5 linked regions of the Sus scrofa genome follow. The protein of the gene in region 3 purifies or fractionates together with the protein of the main gene of each other region. This does not show direct contact. Links are inferred from orthologs where the notes say so. Each region holds a gene or a part of one and is shown on either strand. Other genes may lie near its edges.

Region 1 (3,517 bases), on a different chromosome or scaffold from region 3:
GCATATTTCATATCCAACATTCTTATGAGGTAGATTTTCAGAACCTCAAGTACACAGAGCTTAAATTTATTATCAAGTAAGTAAAGCTAAAATTTATCCTACTTTTTATATTTTGCAAAAGAATGTATTGACATAATGTACTAGTCATAATGTCCAAACTGACTCTAAGTTGGTTTTTATAATCAGTGAAGATACTTATTCCAAAAACACCATTAAAGTAAATATTTCACTTCTTTACCATAAGTATTTTCTTAAGAAGGTAAATATGCCAATTAGGTAGGATTCTCATTATCACCACCAACTGTAATCTGGTAGCAAAAAATGGCTCTGTTCAATGTCAAGAAACAAATACTGGAATTCACCAAGAAAGTAAAAAGAATAAGAGAAACTATGTTAACCCCTCTAGCTTCACAATCCTTCCCACCCCACAGTTCATATATATCAACCATCAACCAGTTATTGAGCTACTCTTCATCTAGTTCAGAAAACTAAAAGATTTGAACAGTGAATTCACAGCAGTGCCTTGCTGCCTAATATCAATAAAATTTAATAAAACTGTAACTCTTTGCTAAAATTTTAAAATAATATTCTTTGGATGCTCACTGTAAAATGACCTTTGCAGTTAGGTATGATGTCATCAAGTAAATAAATATAAAATCTTAAGCACATACTTCTCTGGTGTCATCTGCGATTACAAACTTTTTGCATGGCTCCTTTATTTGGTCTTTAAGTTGATTAATATTTTTTTTCACAGTTTTAATGGTAAATGCATCAAGATTGGCACATATCTGGAAAAGAGACAGGTTTTGATATTCAAATACTTTTCCCTTTCAATTAACTCAATGCAGAAATCTTTCTCATGTAAGAAATAGGTAGCACAATTTGCTAAATATAGCATTTTAATATTGCCTTACTGTGGATCTGATTAGCCAACAAAATCTACCCTGATAGAGTAAAAAGATGCTTTGAAATTGGGTTGGCAGAAAATTCCAGAAAGAAATATATTTATTTACATTCCTTAAATTTCACTTTCCAGCTGAAAAAAACGATGTGGAGAGAATACAGCAAATTGCAGAGATCAGCAAGAATGGTTATGAGATAACCATATTACATGATGCATTTTAAAGGTCATCTTGATATCCATGGATCATATTATCACTTTCTTCCACACATAAAAGAGGATACTACAAAGCTAGGAGCAGCTGAAGCCCATGTGCCTGAATTTGAATTGCAGTTAATCCTTAATACTAGTAATAAATTATATGTTCTAACCAATAATTGTGCTTTTGTCTACTCTATATGATTTTCACTGACTTCAACTTAAAGTAAGGGCTTTAGCGCTAACATACTTTGTGAATTACTCTGAATTCTTTCAGTGCTTGAGATCAACAAAAGCACTGTATATATTGTTACCATCTGCAGGCAGCTGACAAGATATAGACTTTTGGAGTTCCTATTGTGGTACAACAGTACTGTTGATGTCACTGAAGTGCCAGGATGCAAGTTCAATCCCTGGCCTGTGGGTTAAAGATCCTGCATTGCTACAGCTGTGGTGTAGGTCACAGCTGTGGCTCAGATCTGATCCCTGGTCCAGAAATTCCATAGGCCACAGGGCAGCCAAAAAAGAAAAAAACAAAACAAAACAAAACAAATTTAAAGATTCTCATATCTCCATTTTCCCATTTAATTTGAATTACCTAGAATCTGAGAATCACACAGAACAAAAAAAGGCTCAGAAGAAAATATGCAATTCTAAAACTCATGGAGTATGTATGAAATTAGAAACTTTCTTAGCTTATGCATATTTCTATATAAAGTAGATCATTAAGTTTAAAAATAGGAGTAGATATTTAAAGGAAGGTATTTCATTTGTCCCAATTTTTTAATACTTACGTTTGCTCTCTATAATTTGGGGGCTATTATTCCATGTCATAGTTATTTACTAAGGCATATTTCTATTTTGTAGAAGACTGAGTGTATTTACATTAACTAAAGCATATAGATTTCGCTCAACTGATGATCATGGAATAGCTTCTTTCCTGCACTCCATGGCATCTGGACCTAATCTTACCCAAGAAGTATTGGCATTTGCTCTAACTTTGGTTTTTCTGGTTATGAAGAAAGTTAATGACTTACTTTTAAAATATGTTCTTCAGCTTTGGCTTGCTTTTTGGCTCCCCCAACACCTGGTGAGGCTGTTAGTCCCAATATCTGAGGTAAGGGAATCACTGGTTTCTCTTCTTTCTTGAGTTTATTGTTTTTCAATTTCTGTTTCAAATAACGCCTCATGATGTTATTATAGACTGCTTCTTTGTTGGTGTGATGGCATTCGTCAATGATGATGAGAGAAAAGTCTTAAAAAAAATTTAAATGGTTTATTTGCCCATACTGACAAAATACAGTTAAAAAAGGCTCTTTTAGCTGGTAGACTGAGCTGCCTTGGAGATGTATTTTCTTGGGCAGAATACTGACACAAGCAGTTTTTACTTTTTAAGGGCAAATGCAACTATCCTAGCCACCTGTAAATACATAAGTTCATGTACAGTAATCAGGAAATTATCTCTGTTAACTATTATGCTCATTTAATAGATGAGTTTTGGAAAATTTATAGATCTAAAAAGTGTTATGGCATGGATTTCAAACTCTGGCTTTTCCCCCAAAACTCTCAGAAATGCAATTTTGTTTTTTAATAAAATATATAATTTTAAGTTGGTGAATTTTATTTTCATTCTATCAAATGAAAAACACTATTTAAAGAGGAATCATTTTACTTTGTTTAAACTTTGCATTTAATTATTATGAGTATATATACTTCTTTCTCTTCCTCTTGCCTAACTTTTCTTCCCATCCCCCACAAAACAGAAAAGATTATATTTACTCTCTGGAGAAGAAGGCATATCTAACAGGATCCACTAACATATAAAAAGAACTTAGAAATACAGAATTAATGCAAAGTCTAGAAAATGTTTGATTTAATAATGATGTTCTGGAGTTCCCGTTGTGGCTCAGTGGTTAACGAACCCGACTAGTAACCATGAGGTTTTGGGTTTGATCCCTGGCCTCGCTCAGTGGGTTAAGGACCTGGCGTTGCCGGTAGCTGTGGTGTAGGTCGCAGACGTTGGCTCAGATCCCATGTTGCTGTGGCCCTGGTGTAGGCTGGTGAGGCTATAGCTCTGATTGGACCCCTAGCCTGGGAACAACCTATGCCATGGGTGCAGCCCTAGAAAAGACAAAAAGATGGAAAAAAGTGATGTTCTTATGCAGAATAAAGTGATCTGACTAAAAACGTCTCCAGTTTTTTATTTGCTTTCACAAGGAAGAAGGGTTTTATTGAAAAAAAAATGGAAGACAATCTAAATCATAATTAATTTTTAAATCAACATTTTAAAAACTAAGAAATACAGCTTCTTTTACTACCATTAATATTACTACTAATTATCTTTCCAAAAATAAACATTTTAACCAACCTGACAGCTGTACACCAGGGTCTTCTCCTTCTTCTGAGTTTAAAAGGGAG
Region 2 (4,273 bases), on a different chromosome or scaffold from region 3:
AGGGCACACAAATAATCCAGTGACAGACTCCAGCTCCAGACCCTGCAGGCTGAGGAAGCTGAGGCTCCACACCAGGCTGAGAAGGGCCTTTCTGCCCCTACTTGCCTTCTGCCTCCTAGACAAAAACTTCTAGAAGGGCTCTTCTTTTTTTTTTTTTAGGGCCACACCAGGAGCATACGGAAGTTCTCAGGCTGGGGGTCTAATTGGAGCTGTAGCTGCTGGCCTGCACCACAGCCACAGCAATGCCAGATCCGAGCCACATCTGCGACCTACCCCACAGCTCATGGCAACGCCAGATCTTTAACCCACTGAGTAAGGCCAGGGATCGAACCCATGTCCTCATGGATACTAGCTGGATTCGTTACTGCTAAGCCATGACCGGAACTTCCTAGAAGGCCACTCCACAGGAGCCGGGTTGCCCTAGAACTCAGGCTCACACACCCTGAGGCAAAGAGGATCCAGGCAGCCTGACACCGTCCACACAGCAAACTCTCTTCCGGGCATTTCTGAGCAGCTTAAACGATAACGGCAGCTCTACAAAGCATTCACTGTAAAACGCAGCTTATGGGTCGCCTCATTCAATCCTCCCGGTAGCCTTCTGAGATAGGTATTGCTATTGGCCCCTTTTATGAGTTCCCAGCTAGGAAGCAGAGCCAGAATCCAAACCCAGGTCTCAACATCCAGCTCTGGTCACAGCCCATGTTAAGCAGCCTGACCCGTAGGGCCTGCCTACAAAGCACTTCCCACACAGCTCAAGACGACCCAAAACAGGGGAGGGAATGCTAGGAATCCCATTTTACAGATGAAGAAACTGAGGCTCAGAGAACGACAGGGACTTGCCCTGAACCACCGCTAGCAGGGCAGAGCAGGGCTCCAGGCTCCAAAGACCAGCCAGGGTCTTCCCTGCAGCAGGTGGAGACCTGGGTGGGCCAGACCTGAGATGACTGTACCTCCAAAGTCACCGGCCAGGCACTGCCTGAGGCCTGGTTCCTGGGACTCAGGGAGAAAGTCCACAGGAACCCAGGGCAGACTGGAGAAGCAGACCAGGCCAGGGGTGGGCTGTGGCCAGTTGGGAGCAAGGCCTGCACCCAGGTCCTGGTGCCACAGGGCTTATATCTCCTTTGCCAGCATAAGGACAGCCCTTCTTGCTCCCCTTAACAAGTCCTCATGAGAGAAAGGAAATCAGGCCTCACTTTTGAGCTTAGATAACAAAACTTTGCCTACACCTTTTCAGCCTCTGCCTTGAGTCCACAGGGAGAAATTATGATCCCAAAACCACTGAAAGCATCACAGATCCAAAAGCCCTCTTAAGAATCCACCTGGCCCCACCTCCTCGCTTTAGGAATGAAGACCAATCCCGGACTGAAAAGTGGCCAGGCAGGAGAGAGGGCTCTATGGCGCAAGAGTCTGGCTCTCCCTGTGCATCATATCCAAGAATTCCTGGGACGCTGCCCACCCTTCCACTCAACACGATCCTCCCTGGTCACTAGAAGTCTCTGGCTCACCAAAGGCTTTTTCGCACATGACCCCCAACAAACCTCCAGAAGTGTCTCACACTCTGAATGTTGCGGACTTGGTTTTGAGGCTGGTCCATGGGGAGAAAAGGCAACTGTGGAGGCAGCCCAGATGGCAGCTCAATTCCCCCTTGGCCACTTGGGTTAGCTCAGGCTAAATGACCTTCTCTGAACCTCCACTTCCTCAGCTGTAAAATGGAACTCATGGTACCCACCTCCCAGGTGCTATCAGGATTTATTGAGAGAACAGAGGTAACCTCCAGCACTATATCTGACCTTCAAAACCCTCTTCTAAACATCATCAGACAAGTGCTAGGCTTAAGGCAAGCATGAGTCTTCAGTGGTTCCCTTTGTAAAATGGGTGAGTGGGGTGGGCATAGGGGAGGTGAACCCGGAATGAGAGGAAGTTTGTACCTTCTCCCAGCCCCTTTCTACCCTGAAACCCCCAAGCCCCTGCCCCATCTCAGGCCCAGCAAGGCCCCTCCCTCGCCCCGGGGTGATCCAAGGTAGCCCACTGTGGTGCCCTCTGCACAACCCAGTAGCCCCAGGCTGCCCCTCTGTGCCCTGGGCCACCACTCCTACCTCCAGGTCGGTGCTGGCCTGGCTCAGGGGTGCAGGCGAGCAGGTCTTGTGCTCCACCAGGCAGACGTGGCAGATGCACTCGCTGTGCTCAGGGCAGAAGAAGTCTCGAAGCCGGTTGTGCTGGGGGCACTTGCGGCGCATCAGGTCTCGGACTGGCGGCTGCAGCGGGTGGTCCCGGAAGGCGGGGCTGTCGAGGTGCGGCCTCAGGTGTTCCTGGCAGAAGGAGGCCATGCACACGAGACAAGTCTTGACGGCGGTCGCCTGTAGGCAGTGGTCACAGGCCACTTGGCCGGCCGGGCTGGAGGCGGCGGCGCGGGCGGGCGGCGTCCAGCCATCGCTGTCGAGGACCGCGGGCCGGGCTTGCTCGGCCTGCAGGAACTGCTCCACCACCGCGCACAAAACGGTGTTCTTGCGCAGCTGCGGCCGCGTCTCGTAGCCCGTGCGACACTGCGGGCACAGGTACGGCGGGCCCTGGACGGCCCACGTCTCATCCAGGCACAACCCGCAGAAGTTGTGGCCGCACGGCGTGGTGACCGGCACCTTGAAGGGCTCCAGGCAGATGGAGCATGACAGCTCCTCGGCCAGGGGGCACAGTTCCGCCATGGCGCTCCGTGAGGGGACCCGACGTGACGCGCGGGAACTGCCGCGACTGCTGCGCTATCGCCCCGATGCCTCCAAGGAAACGAAACTGAGCTGCAGGAGGGGCGGTCCCCCGGCCTTTCAGGAAGTCACGTGGGGTAGGGTGGGGTTGAGCGCGGAGGTGGAACGGGCCCCATGGGGTCCCGGGGCGGGCGGGGTCCAGGGGTCGCTGAGGTCCGACTGGCGACGTTCGAATCCCGGTGGCTCCCGCGGAGTGTGGGTACGGGGCGCTGGGCTCAGGGTTTCAGACGAGACTCTGGACCACCAGGGGGGATCTTACGGCCCCTCTGCGGATGAGAAAACTGACACGTTGCGTGGAGAACCCGGGATCCCAGCAGTCAGGGGACTGACTACAGCACAAACGCGCCTGGATCTGATCCGTTCCTTCCGAAAACTCGTCCAGACCCAAGTTGTCCCACCGCCCCCGCGAGCAAGGCTGTCTCATCAAGACAGGTCTTTCAAAAATAACTGTGGGAACAGTAAAGTATTCGCTGCCTTTTCTTATTTAAAAAAACCCCATCCTTCCTCTTCCCTGGTCCTGGGCTCTGGCATATCGGCCTTCAATCTCTGCAGGCAGGGTCACACCCGGGGGTAATGTCAGTAGAATCTGTAGTAATCACCGCTCTCTCATTCCTGATCTAAGTAATCTGGGTTTCCCTTCTTTTCTTAAGCCATCTAATAGATTTTATGGATTTTATTAATTTTTTCCAAAAATCCAACTTTTGGCTTCTCTGCTCTTTTTTTCATTGATTTCTTCTCATGTCTCTTATTTCCTTCTATTTACTTTTGGTTTAATTTGCTCTTTTTCAAATTCGTTAAGTTGGCACATTGGATCGCTGCTGTTAAACTTTTTTCTTTTCTAATATAAATGTTTACAACTATAAATCTAGATTGTCAATCTCCCTTGGCCTGCAGAAGTTACAGCGCCAGGGACTGAATCTGCACCACAGCTCTGACAACGCCAGATCTTTACCCTGCTGCACCACCCAGGAACTCCATCCACAAGTTTTGATATATGTGTTTTCATTATCATTTCACTCAAAATATTTTTTTTTTTTTTTTTTTTTTTTTTTTTGCCTTTTCTAGGGCTGCTCCCGAGGCATGTGGAGATTCCCACCCAGGCTAGGGGTCGAATCGGAGCCGTAGCCTCTGCCTCCGCCAGAGCCACAGCAACGCGGGATCCGAGACGCGTCTGCAACCTACACCACAGCTCACGGCAAGGCTGGATCCTTAACCCACTGAGCAAAGCCAGGGATCGAACCCTCAACCTCATGGTTCCTAGTCGGGTTTGTTAACCACTGTGCCACGACGGGAACTCCCACTCAAAATATTTTCTAATTTCCTTTGTTATTTATTTGTAATTACTTATAAGGAGATGGCTTCATTTCCAAATATTTAACACTTTCCTGGGTATCTTACTGTTACTGATTTCTAACACAATTCTATTTGAGCCAGCTCTACGACCTAAGATGTTTGTCTTTTGAAATAGGTTGAGACTGACAGGATGTTAATATCTCCGATATGATAACAGCTTGTCT
Region 3 (3,517 bases):
TATTAGGATCCAGGGGGACCCCAGCACCCCACCTGTAGGGGACAGCCCGGGGCCACTCACTGCCTCGGAGTTCCAGGCAGAGGAGGAGTTGGAAGAGGGGTTGGAAGAGGTCAAGACTGAGGCTAGGGCTCCGTGGGTTGGGGTGGCGGTGGTTGGGGTGCTTCTGGCCACACTCCTGGCCATGCTGTACCGGCGGCGCCTGCCCCAGTGAGGCTCCTGGGCCCTGTCCACCACGTATCTGTTCCCTTCTCCAAGATACATCTGCCTGAGCCACAGAGCCAAGTTATCCCAGCATCCCTGACCCTTTTGTGGAGCTGGCAGAGGCTGGGTCAGAGGGGAGGCAGGGGGCCCCAGGCTTAGTCCTAGCAGGGAGCATTTCGGTCCCATTGTCCTCTGTGGCTCCCCCACCATCCTTGGCTTTTGGGGACCCGTGCTGCCCTGGGTGCTCCAGACCATCTGGCCATCTGGGTTGTTACCTTTGTCCTCTGGAGGAGGTGCCTCTGTCCCAAGTCCAAGGATCAGGAGGTGCAGCTGGAGACCGCAGGGCGTCAACAACATCCGCTGTCCTGCCCTGATCCCTGGCAGCCCACAGCAGATGGGTGGGGCAGGGGGCCCCACAGGACTTTGCTCCAGCCCCCAGGGGCCCCAGGAACAGCATGGTGGCCCATCTCTAAGGACCTAGTCCCCTGCCTCCCCTGGCACACAAGGATGGGAGGAGGTCCGGAGAGTCCCATGGACCCCTGGGAAGCCTGACCAGCTGCTGGGCCTGAGAACCACCTAAAGAGCCCCTCTCCAGCCCCCGTATCCTGGTCTCTCTTCACCTCCCTATGGGGGCTGGGGAGGGAACACCTGCAGGGCAGAGCTCAGGCCAAGGTGCAGATTTCGGCTCCACCCCTTCCTGGGCTGTGTGGCCTTGGCAGCTCATCAGACTTCTCTGGTCTTGCTCACCCATGTGGACGGTGAGTGTCATGCCTTATCCTTCACTGCCTTCTCCTGAGATTGAAGCCTACATGTCTTTGTCAAGTGCCTGGCTCAGAGCAGGTGGCTGCTAAATGCTTTTCCCCATCTCTCCCTGCCCGGCCTGGTGGAGATGAGGGGTGAGAGGCAGGGAGCCAGGTGGGTAAGGGGGTACCACTGTGCTGTAGGGTGGCCTAGGTCTGCATCCCGCTCTCACTAATTCTGTGCTCTTGGGCAAGATATTAACCTCTCTGTGCCTTAGTTTTCTCACCTGTAAAAAGAGGATGAGTAGTGGAATTTTATATATATAGATACACACGTCCTAGTGTCATAAGGATTAAATGAGTTTATCTATTTAAATCTTAGAATGGTTCCTGGCATTTCATTGACTAAGGGTTGGGTACATGTTTGTCACTATTCAATGTGGAGGGACTGGAGCACTTGGCTACACCGTTAGAAGCAGAGCCAGGCCATACGCCTATGTCCCTTTTATATTTGCCCCTTCCTTTGTCCCGGGCACTGGGGAATTACTGGGGAGGGAGGTCTATCCACTGGGGCAATTCTGCAGGGTGGGGGCTGGGGTGCTCCCCAGCAACCAGATGGATTGGGGGGTACCCTAGTGGGTTCTTTTCAGGCAGCCATTGCTGGACAAGGGGCAGGGACAGGGGCCTCGGGAGCTCCCTTCATTTCTGGGCTCTGCAAGCAGGACCAGAGCCCTGAGGAGACATAAGGGGTGGGCGTCCCTGGGACCCGCCCCCAAGCTGTCAGTCTGCAGGGTCCTGCACCCTGCTTGGGCTGCTACAGCCTTTCTTTGCACTGCCCTAGGGGACCTCAGCAGCCTAATGACCTTGGCTTCTACCTCTAGATTTCTCTTCAACCCTCTCCAAATGGAACAACCTGCACCCTGAAGCTAGGAGTGGTCCCTACCCACGCTGTCTGCAACCACTCCCTATCACCCTTGCTCTTAACCACCCCTCTGTGCTCCTTCTTCACTCCCAGGTATCCAAGTCAGGGAACAATTCATGCACAGGTACTGGTTTTAAAGTGCTACCCTCTCAAGGTGGCTTGGGAACAAAGTATCTCGACAGCAGTGTGTAGACCTAAGGGATGCTACATAAATGGTAGGATTTCAGAATTCCCATCATGGCTCAGAGGAAATGAATCCGACTAGGAACCATGAGGTTGCAGGCTTGATCCCTGGCCTCGCTCAGTGGGCTAAGGATCCAGCATTGCTGTGAGCTGTGGTGTAGTTCACAGATTCAGCTCGGATCTGGCGTTGCTGAGGCTGTGGCGTAGACTGGCAGCTGTAGCTCCAATTAGACCCCTAGCCTGGGAACCTCCATATGGGGGCAGCTCTAAAAAGCAAAAAAAGAAAAAAGGTAGGATTTCAAGTACGGTGACCAGCCAAGGGGGAGATACTTTTTGGATAAGGTGTGTAGAAAGCAGTCAGGGATGTACCTGGTCCTTTGCAAATTATGCTCCCCAGAAGCCCTGACTTGGCCTGCATCGAACAGCACCCCTATTTTGGCTGTTGTTGATCTGAAGGCCTCTAAAATGCCAACTTGAAGCAGGCTTGGGAATTGGCCAGTATATGGAGGCCTGTGGCCAGAAGAGGGCTTGGGGGAGTTGATGGGATGTGTCATATCTCAGGAGTCCTGGGTTTCAGCAGCAAGAGGGTGCGTGTGGGAGGGTTCCTCATCCCCATGGCCTGAGTGATGTGGAGGGAGGGAGGACCAAAGAGGGCCTTTACCCCAAGAGGTGAGCACAGCCACCTCTACCTAGAGGCTTGGAGAAGCACCCTTTACCTTTCAGTAAAGGCTGTGGGGCCAGAGGGGCCAATGGCATCCTAAACACTTACAGCAGCCTCACCTGTAGCCCAGTATACATCCGTATTTAAAAAAAAAAACAAAACACCCTCTCCATCTTTTCTCTCTCCTGTTGAAACATTTCCTGCAAAGCCCAAGAGCCACCAATGCTTCTCTTTTGCTGGGAAATAGCTGTCACCTTTGCTTGATGACCCACTGCAGCCAGACTCACATCACATCCTCACCTTGTTTTCCTGGTTGGATGTACTCAGATTTAACTGACTTAGGGGAATTTCTGGTCAAATATCAGCAAGATGCCCTTTCCTCTTTCAGGCTTTGGGTTGGGTTATTCATAGCTTCTTTTGTTTGTTTATCGGCCACGCCTGTGGCATTGTGGAAGTTCCTGGGTCAGGAATCAAACCTGGGCGATGGCAGCAACCCAAGCCAATGCTGGATCTTTAACCCACTGCACCAGAGGAGAACTCCCGTAGCTTCTAAGCATTTTTTTTTTTTTTTATGAAAAACTTTTAAGCTCACACGGTAGAATAGATAGAATAATACTCCCCACTCCATATGCCCATCATCCAGCATCAGTAATTGTGGACACATGGCTAGTCTTTTTGTTTGTTTGTTTTGTTTTTTGTCTTTTTGGGGCCACACCCACAGCATATGGAGGTGCCCAGGCTAGGGGTCGAATCAAAGCTGTAGCTGCTGGCCAAAGCCTCAGCCACAGCAATGCGTGATCCGAGCCACAT
Region 4 (3,517 bases), on a different chromosome or scaffold from region 3:
CCAGTGACGGGGGCTTTGGGAACATGGTTCTCCAAGTTTTCAGTCTTTACTCTTGAGGCGGTCACAGCTTTTTAGGTCCAAAGTCTAGAATTTTCTTGGCATTTGGTTAGACATCTGTGCCTCACAATTGGAAATTCATAGTAATCTAAACTTTGGCACACAGAGCTTACCTTCATATTCTCTTTTTCTTCTGGCCTCCTAACTTCTTTCATGGTCTCGATGAACAGTTTCCCATTTCCTCCTCAAAATGAAAGAAGGGAGACAGAAGAGGCTTTCAGTCTCTCCTCCATACACTGTTCCCTCTGATTTGCCTACGGACATCACAAACTGGCCATGCTGAAACCCATCACCAACCTTTGCTCATGTTCTTGCATGGGACACTTTTCTGCTTGTCCCCTTTGGTCCCAATTCCTTTATGAGCCTTTCCTGATCACTCTGGATTAGATAGACGTGCCTTGTCTATATGGACCTTGGCTGTCAATTTACCCCACCTGTCTAAAAAAGCCAGAAATGAGAAACGAAGCAAACAATTTCCTGGAAAAAAAATTCTATGTATATAGTTGGGCCTAGGTAGGGAAAAATGACCCTTAAGTGGTATTGCTTCCCTGGCCTGCTGAGAGGCTGGATGTCTGATCCCTTCATGTTGGAGTTCACCTGGTTCCAAGATCTCTCTTTAACAGTATCTAAAGGTGTTCTTTAAAGTTGGAATGCTGTAAGGACTGCGTTCTAAAGGATACATTTAGAATGACTATACTTTCACTGTGAAACAAATCAAATATAGAGTTAAATAAGAAATGAAGCACAATTATCTATTTATACAATTATTTGCAAATAAATTATCTATTTACACAGTCATTTCCTCTACTATTTACACCGAGGTTTGGGTATCACCTCCCAGGCCCTCCTCAGGATGAGTTAGTGAAATCCTGATTGGTGCTGATGGGATTCTTGCTTCTGCTATCTGGTCTGCCAGTTCCCTCCTGTATCTTGCAATGCCTGTACCTGTGCCTTTGCATAGAATGTTCACTCTATTTCTGCGGATTCTCAAAGGTTAAACTTTAATACTACTGAGCCTTCTTTTTCATCTTCTTCAGCTTTTCTAGCTTCACTGCTACAGTTACTGCTTTCTGATATCTGAGAGAAGATGCATACAAAGACATGCACCTTATTTTGTGATGCTTTGCAAAATACCTGCTGCTGGTGGCTTTGCCAGGGAACAGTCTTTACCCAATGCCCCTATTCTATAAAGTCAACCAAATTTTACCACCTTCTGTCAGAATCTTGAGAACTAGACTAAAGATACTGGTGAGGGATATAGAGCCTTCTAGGGGTGAGGGCTTACAGCCTAATTGGCCCAGGTTCCTAAGACAGCCTCAACCTGATCATCAACCTTTATTCCTGTGCCTCCTGTATAAAGTTTATAACTTTTTTTATCCTTTACCACCCAACATTTTGCCTAGTCATATCATCACTGAATAGACTAAAAGTGGCATTGATTTTCTTTTTCTTTTTAGTAAGATATCAACAAGTAGCCTAATATTCTTATTAGACTGGCCCACCCAGCTTATATATTTAGACAGTATCCTAAATGCAACCTCCTGTTTCTCAGAGTCAGGTTATAGACTTGCGTGGGACCAGTAGTTGTACTTGCAAACCCAGACATTCCTACTTTGTAACTTGTAGGAAGGCAGAGGCACATTTTTCTCTCCATACTCCCACACATCAGCAGCTTTCCAACTGTGTTATCGGTGGTGGGTTCCAATCTAACAGTGGCTCGTTCTAATCTGACTGCTGATTTCTCCATGAGCCTTTTCAGACTGGTTCTCGGAAGCTCCTCTTTCAGCCTTCTTGGGCTTATGGTCTCGTCTCTTTCACTTTCTTTATGAGGCCCTCTAGTAAGTGTTGTCTCCTAGAGTCTGGTGTGTATGTATAGGCCAGTATTGTATTGAAAGTAGCCTTTTCAAGAATGACACAATATTAGTTTCCTCATCAACAACCTTCATGTTTTCATAGTTTTTGGAATATTGGTCAATACTTTCTAAAAGTTGTGTATGGAGTTCCCGTCGTGGCTCAGCAGAAACGAATCTGACTAGGAACCTTGAGGTTTGCGGGTTCCATCCCTGGCCTTGCTCAGTGGGTCAAGGACCCGGCGTTGCCGTGGGCTGTGGTGTAGGTCGCAGACATGGCTTGGATCCTGAATTGCTGTGGTTGTGGCGTAGGCTGGCAGCTACAGCTCCGATTAGACCCCTAGCCTGGCAACCTCCATATGCTGCGGATGTGGCCCTAAAAAGCAAATAAATAAAGAAATAAATAAAAGTTATGTAATGGGAAGAACATTCCTCATTTTGTTCTTCCTTTTCTTTCTATTCTCCCCCCCTTTTTTTCCTTCAATCTGCTTAAAGAACCACATAGAAAAAAATGTGTCCATTTAACTTGGTATCCCTTCAAGGATAGAGGGGATATGTTTGTGAAGAGGTTATCAGGAACTTGGAGAAATGGACATAAAGGAGGCCTCCCCAGGAAATTCTGCACATGATATTCTGCAGAATTATTGGGAATAAACTCATTCTGAGAATCTCAAAACTGGAAGCAATCTTAAGGGCATCTACTTCAACCCCCATCAAATCCTGGACTCATATTTGCAACATTTCCACCAAGTGAGTGTCCAGCCCTGTCTTAAATACTTCCTGGGATGTGGAACTCTCTAAATTCCATTTTTTAAACCACATAATTAGTAGATCAGGATATATTAAAGCAAATTTTGTGATTATTTCCACCATCCAGTCCTGGATCCATCCCCTGGGACCATGCAGAGTGAATCCGCCTTCCACTTACCTTCAGATATTTAAGGCAGCCATGCCCAAAGCCTCTGCTGTCAGCCAAAGAGTCCTTACTTCCTCAGTGGCATTTTAAAGACTGATGATATTAAATTTCCTGTTTTGGGCTGCCTGTGTAAGGTGAATGCCTTATAAGTAAATATAAAAACTTAATATACTAAATATGATTTGGATGTTGATGACAGTCTGTCAAATTGGTACTTATAAATATAATTTTTTTTTTCTGTAGCCAGGTAACATATTTTTAGTAGATACAAACCAAATAAAGATTGGAGACTTTGGACTTGTAACATCCCTGAAAAATGATGAAAAGCGGACAAGTCGAAAGGGAACTTTGCGATACATGAGCCCAGAACAGGTGAGATTGCCTTCCCTTCTGTTTATGTTTTTTACCTCTTTCATTTTTTTAACTATAAAAATGATAGACATCTCTCATAAAATTAAAACAGTACAGAAGTAAATAGAATAAAAGTGGAAAAATTCACCTTACCCTTCCTTTCTATTCCTACTCTTCTCACTAGAATTTGTGATTTATCCTTTTAAATCATTATCCTTGAGTTATTACAGTTATGTAGATACAGGAATTCTCTTGTGGTGTAGCAGGTTAAGGATCTGGTGTCATCCCTGCAACAGCTTGAGTCGATGCTATGGTGAGGGTTTGATCTCTGGCCCGTGACCTT
Region 5 (3,517 bases), on a different chromosome or scaffold from region 3:
ATGGTTCGGGCTGCATAGGCCATCAGGGACAACTTGGAGGGGTCAGTGCTGTCCAGCATCTCCCCACTGAAGTTTAGACGCAGGAAGCTGGTGTAGATGCTTGTGAGGGTCTGGCCGGCAGGCGTGGGGGCATGCAGGAAGTGCAAGGTGGCACAGACAAGCCAGCAGTAGGAGGGCAGGAAGCAGGCGGCAGCGATCTGGTGGTGCCCCTCCAGGTTCCGGGAGAGCATCTCCACCAGGTTGTCATGCTGAGCCAGCGTGGCCGAGACACCCGCTCCCCCAGCTCCGTGCTCGCAGTCTGGCTGGTTGAGGCGGAGCTGGAAGTAGAGCTTCTGTAGGTTGGTATCAGAGAAGCCACAGATCTCGCCATAGCGGCCCACATACTTGCTGGGGATGCGGCCAATGGCAGAGGGCCGGGTGGTCACCAGAATACTGGCCTGGGAAGAGCAGAGTTGAAGGTTAAGAGAGACCCTGGGAGTTCCCGTTGCGGCTCAGCAGCAACAAACCCGACTAGTATCCATGAGGATGTGGGTTCGATCCCAGCAGATTAAGGCTCTGGCGTTGCTGTGAGCTGTGGTGTAGGTCACAGGTGTGGCTCAGATCCTGAGTTGCTGTGGCTGTAGTCCAGGCTGGCAGCTACAGCTCCAATTCGACTCCTCGCCTGGGAATTTCCATATGCCTCAGGTGCAGCCCTAAAAAAGACCAAAAAAAAAAAAAAAAAAAAAAAAAAAAAAAAAAAAGGAGAGAGACCCTGGTGTTCTAATTGCCTCCCTTGCCAGGAGGCCCTGAAGACTGAGTGTTCAAGGATGAAGATGATGATGACATAGTAATTCCAGCTCACACTTATTGAGCACCTACTATGGTCCAGGGCACCACACTAAGCAACACTAAGCACTTCATGTGCAGTGTCTCATTTGATCCCTACAACTTAAGGAGAGAAGAAAACAGAAGCTTGAGGAAGTTCCTGACTTGCTCGGTGCTACACCTGGGAAGTGGAGGGGCAGGATTTGAACTAACCCAGAGCCTACACTCCTTACCCATTAAAGATACAGCTCCAGGTCACAAAAATCCTTAGGGAACAAGGTGGGGACAATGGAGGCAGAGCAAGGGGCACTCACCTCCGGCAACATGTATTTGCGCAGCAGATTGACAATGATGGCAGCTGGTGCCTTTGGCTCCTCAAGGTCACTGCAAAGCCCTGTGTCCGCCAACTGGAAATTGAGGTTGAGATGCTCTAGGCCATGGAGCACAAAGAGGAGGCGGGAGCCTGCAGAGGCCATCAGAGGCAGAATCTCCTTCAGGGGCGTGTAGCGCTGGGCCACCAGTTGGCACAAGGAGGCTGGTGCAGGGCCCAGAGATGACAGGTCCTCGCAGGAGAAGGGGATGAGCAGCTCAAAGGCTGGCAGCCGCCCATAACACCAATCCAGAACCATCTTGCGCACCAGCGTGCTCTTGCCAGTGCCCACTGTTCCGTAGAGCACCACGGTCTGCACCCGGCGCCCGCAGGCATCTGGGTCAAAGAGCTGAGACAGGGCCAGTGGGGGGAGCCCGGCAGAGGGTGGATGATGCTCCAGGGCCAACTCAGCCGTAGGGCGGAGCAGCTCATCGGGGGTGCTCTCTCGGATCACAGGGTCCACGTGGACTGTGTCTAGTGCAAAGGTCGGGCCGAACTGGCGCTCTTCCCTGGGCAGCCGGCTGAACCACTCAGCCAGGTTCCGGCGGTGCTGCTGGATGGCTTCTGGATGGGAAGGCAAGGGGGATGCATCAGGGAGAGGCCCGGAAATGCAGGCGCTCAGGGAGCTGATAGGGTGAGGTGGCGGAGTCAAGGCCCAGCACCAGGAAGGGCTGGGGCCCAGAATGGTGCTGGACACGCAGGACTCCCTCAGACTGTCCGGAGGTTTGGACCCCTGCGGCAGAAAATGAGGAGCCATGAGAAGAGTGGTGGTGAGCCTGGGCTGACTGGCTGCGTGATTATCTGGGTACCATCTTCTGACAGTTAGAGGCAGTGGAGGTGGGGTGATAGATCCCTCCCAGGGCTCTGCACATCAGAAGCGAGCCTTGTGTTGTGGGAAGGGATATGCGGACAGACGGATGATGGGGCGAGGGAGGGTGGGTCCACTGACAGATGATCATGATGACGGTGGATCCTCTATCCTCCTCCTTCCTGCCTGCTTCTCTCTCCAAGCCCTTCTCCCCCGCCCCATCCCCACAGTGAGATCCCTGCAGCCCTTCTCAGGGTGATTGAGAAGCCGGTCCCTTTACCAGTTGCAGCAGCGCCCTGGAACAACAGCCTGTGCCTCCCTGGTGGGGGATCACTGTCCGCTGAGCTTCCGTGGTGGCGTATAAAGGCCCTGTGAGCAAGGGGAAGAGGTGAGCTGGAGCTTGGCTATTGGGCTCGGGCTCCACACAGGCTCAGAGCCCAACTCAAGAATGCCTGGAATGATGGACTTCTGGCCTCCTGAGATCCAGGCCTGACCCTGGACACTCAGGCCCAGAGCCTCTCTGATTCTCACACCCTTCCGAGAGACGGAGGTCTCACCCCAGCCCTCTAGCCCCCCCCCCCCCCCCACTGCTGGCTGCCTGCCTGAAACTCAGGCTGGCCACTGTGACTTGTACAGCGGATGATGTAACCCAACTTCCTCTCAGGCCTGGTAACTGACACTGTACCCTCTCCATCCCCAGAAGGCCAACCTCTCCCCAGGCGGTCAAGTTCTCCTCAAGTCCTAACCCCTCCCAGCTACCCTGCTGTGCCCAGATGTGCTCCAAGGTATGACACCGTGGCCTCACCTAGGGGGCCCAAGGGGTCGCTGCCCTCTAAGGGGCCAACTCCAGTGGATCAGGAAAGGGATACGTTCATCTATGGAGAGAAAAAAGAAGGAAGAAATAGCATCCAGAACTCACCCATATTAGCTCAACAACACATAGACCCCACATCTACATCAAATCCCTCATTAGGAGTTCCCATTGTGGCTCAGAAGAAACGAGCCCGACTAACATCCATGAGGTTCCTGGTTCAATCCTTGGCTTCGCTCGGTGGGTTAAGGATCCAGCGTTGCCGTGAGCTGTGGTGTAGGTCGCAGACACGGCTTGGATCCCACATTGCTGTGGCTGTGGTGTAGGCCAGCAGCTACAGCTCCAATTTGACCACTAGCTTGGAAACTTCCATATGCTGCGGGTGTGGCCCTAAAAAGCAAAAAAAAAAAAAAAAAAAAAAAAAAAAAATCCCTCATTATTTGCTCTCATAGCATCATGTATTGCCCCTTTGTAGTAGTTATTATGCAATTTTTATATTTCATTACGCAATTATTTTATTAACATTCATTCATACATACCCCTTATTCCTCCATGAGAGCAGGCATCGCATCTGTCTGGGTTCACAATTATTTACTTAGAACTTAGCATGGGGTCTGGCACATAGCAGGCACTCAGTAAATATTTGTCGAATGTAAAATGAAATCAGGCAAGTGTTCCTGGACTTATACAGTTACAGGGACCCTCAAAGACCATCGAGTCTGAC

What was found.
Region 1: the proteins of MAVS (region 3) and IFIH1 purify together in Homo sapiens (affinity purification with western blotting; 12 studies listed by BioGRID and IntAct, with this or other methods). This does not show direct contact. The link is inferred for Sus scrofa from reciprocal best matches to the Homo sapiens genes MAVS and IFIH1.
Region 2: the proteins of MAVS (region 3) and TRIM25 purify together in Homo sapiens (affinity purification with western blotting; 3 studies listed by BioGRID and IntAct, with this or other methods). This does not show direct contact. The link is inferred for Sus scrofa from reciprocal best matches to the Homo sapiens genes MAVS and TRIM25.
Region 4: the proteins of MAVS (region 3) and EIF2AK2 purify together in Homo sapiens (affinity purification with western blotting; 3 studies listed by BioGRID and IntAct, with this or other methods). This does not show direct contact. The link is inferred for Sus scrofa from reciprocal best matches to the Homo sapiens genes MAVS and EIF2AK2.
Region 5: the proteins of MAVS (region 3) and NLRX1 purify together in Homo sapiens (affinity purification with western blotting; 4 studies listed by BioGRID and IntAct, with this or other methods). This does not show direct contact. The link is inferred for Sus scrofa from reciprocal best matches to the Homo sapiens genes MAVS and NLRX1.

The regions. Positions count from the first base shown.
Region 1 is NC_010457.5:68,943,644-68,947,160, forward strand, and holds part of IFIH1 (interferon-induced helicase C domain-containing protein 1), read right to left. Parts: coding exon 3,468-3,517; intron 2,355-3,467; coding exon 2,137-2,354; intron 789-2,136; coding exon 672-788; intron 1-671.
Region 2 is NC_010454.4:33,209,641-33,213,913, forward strand, and holds the start of TRIM25 (E3 ubiquitin/ISG15 ligase TRIM25), read right to left. Parts: upstream 2,801-4,273; 5' UTR 2,700-2,800; coding exon 2,097-2,699; intron 1-2,096.
Region 3 is NC_010459.5:31,852,270-31,855,786, reverse strand, and holds part of MAVS (mitochondrial antiviral-signaling protein), read left to right. Parts: coding exon 1-211; 3' UTR 212-3,517.
Region 4 is NC_010445.4:103,075,523-103,079,039, forward strand, and holds part of EIF2AK2 (interferon-induced, double-stranded RNA-activated protein kinase), read left to right. Parts: intron 1-3,066; coding exon 3,067-3,195; intron 3,196-3,517.
Region 5 is NC_010451.4:46,387,361-46,390,877, reverse strand, and holds part of NLRX1 (NLR family member X1), read right to left. Parts: intron 2,858-3,517; coding exon 2,788-2,857; intron 2,352-2,787; coding exon 2,263-2,351; intron 1,739-2,262; coding exon 1,119-1,738; intron 438-1,118; coding exon 1-437.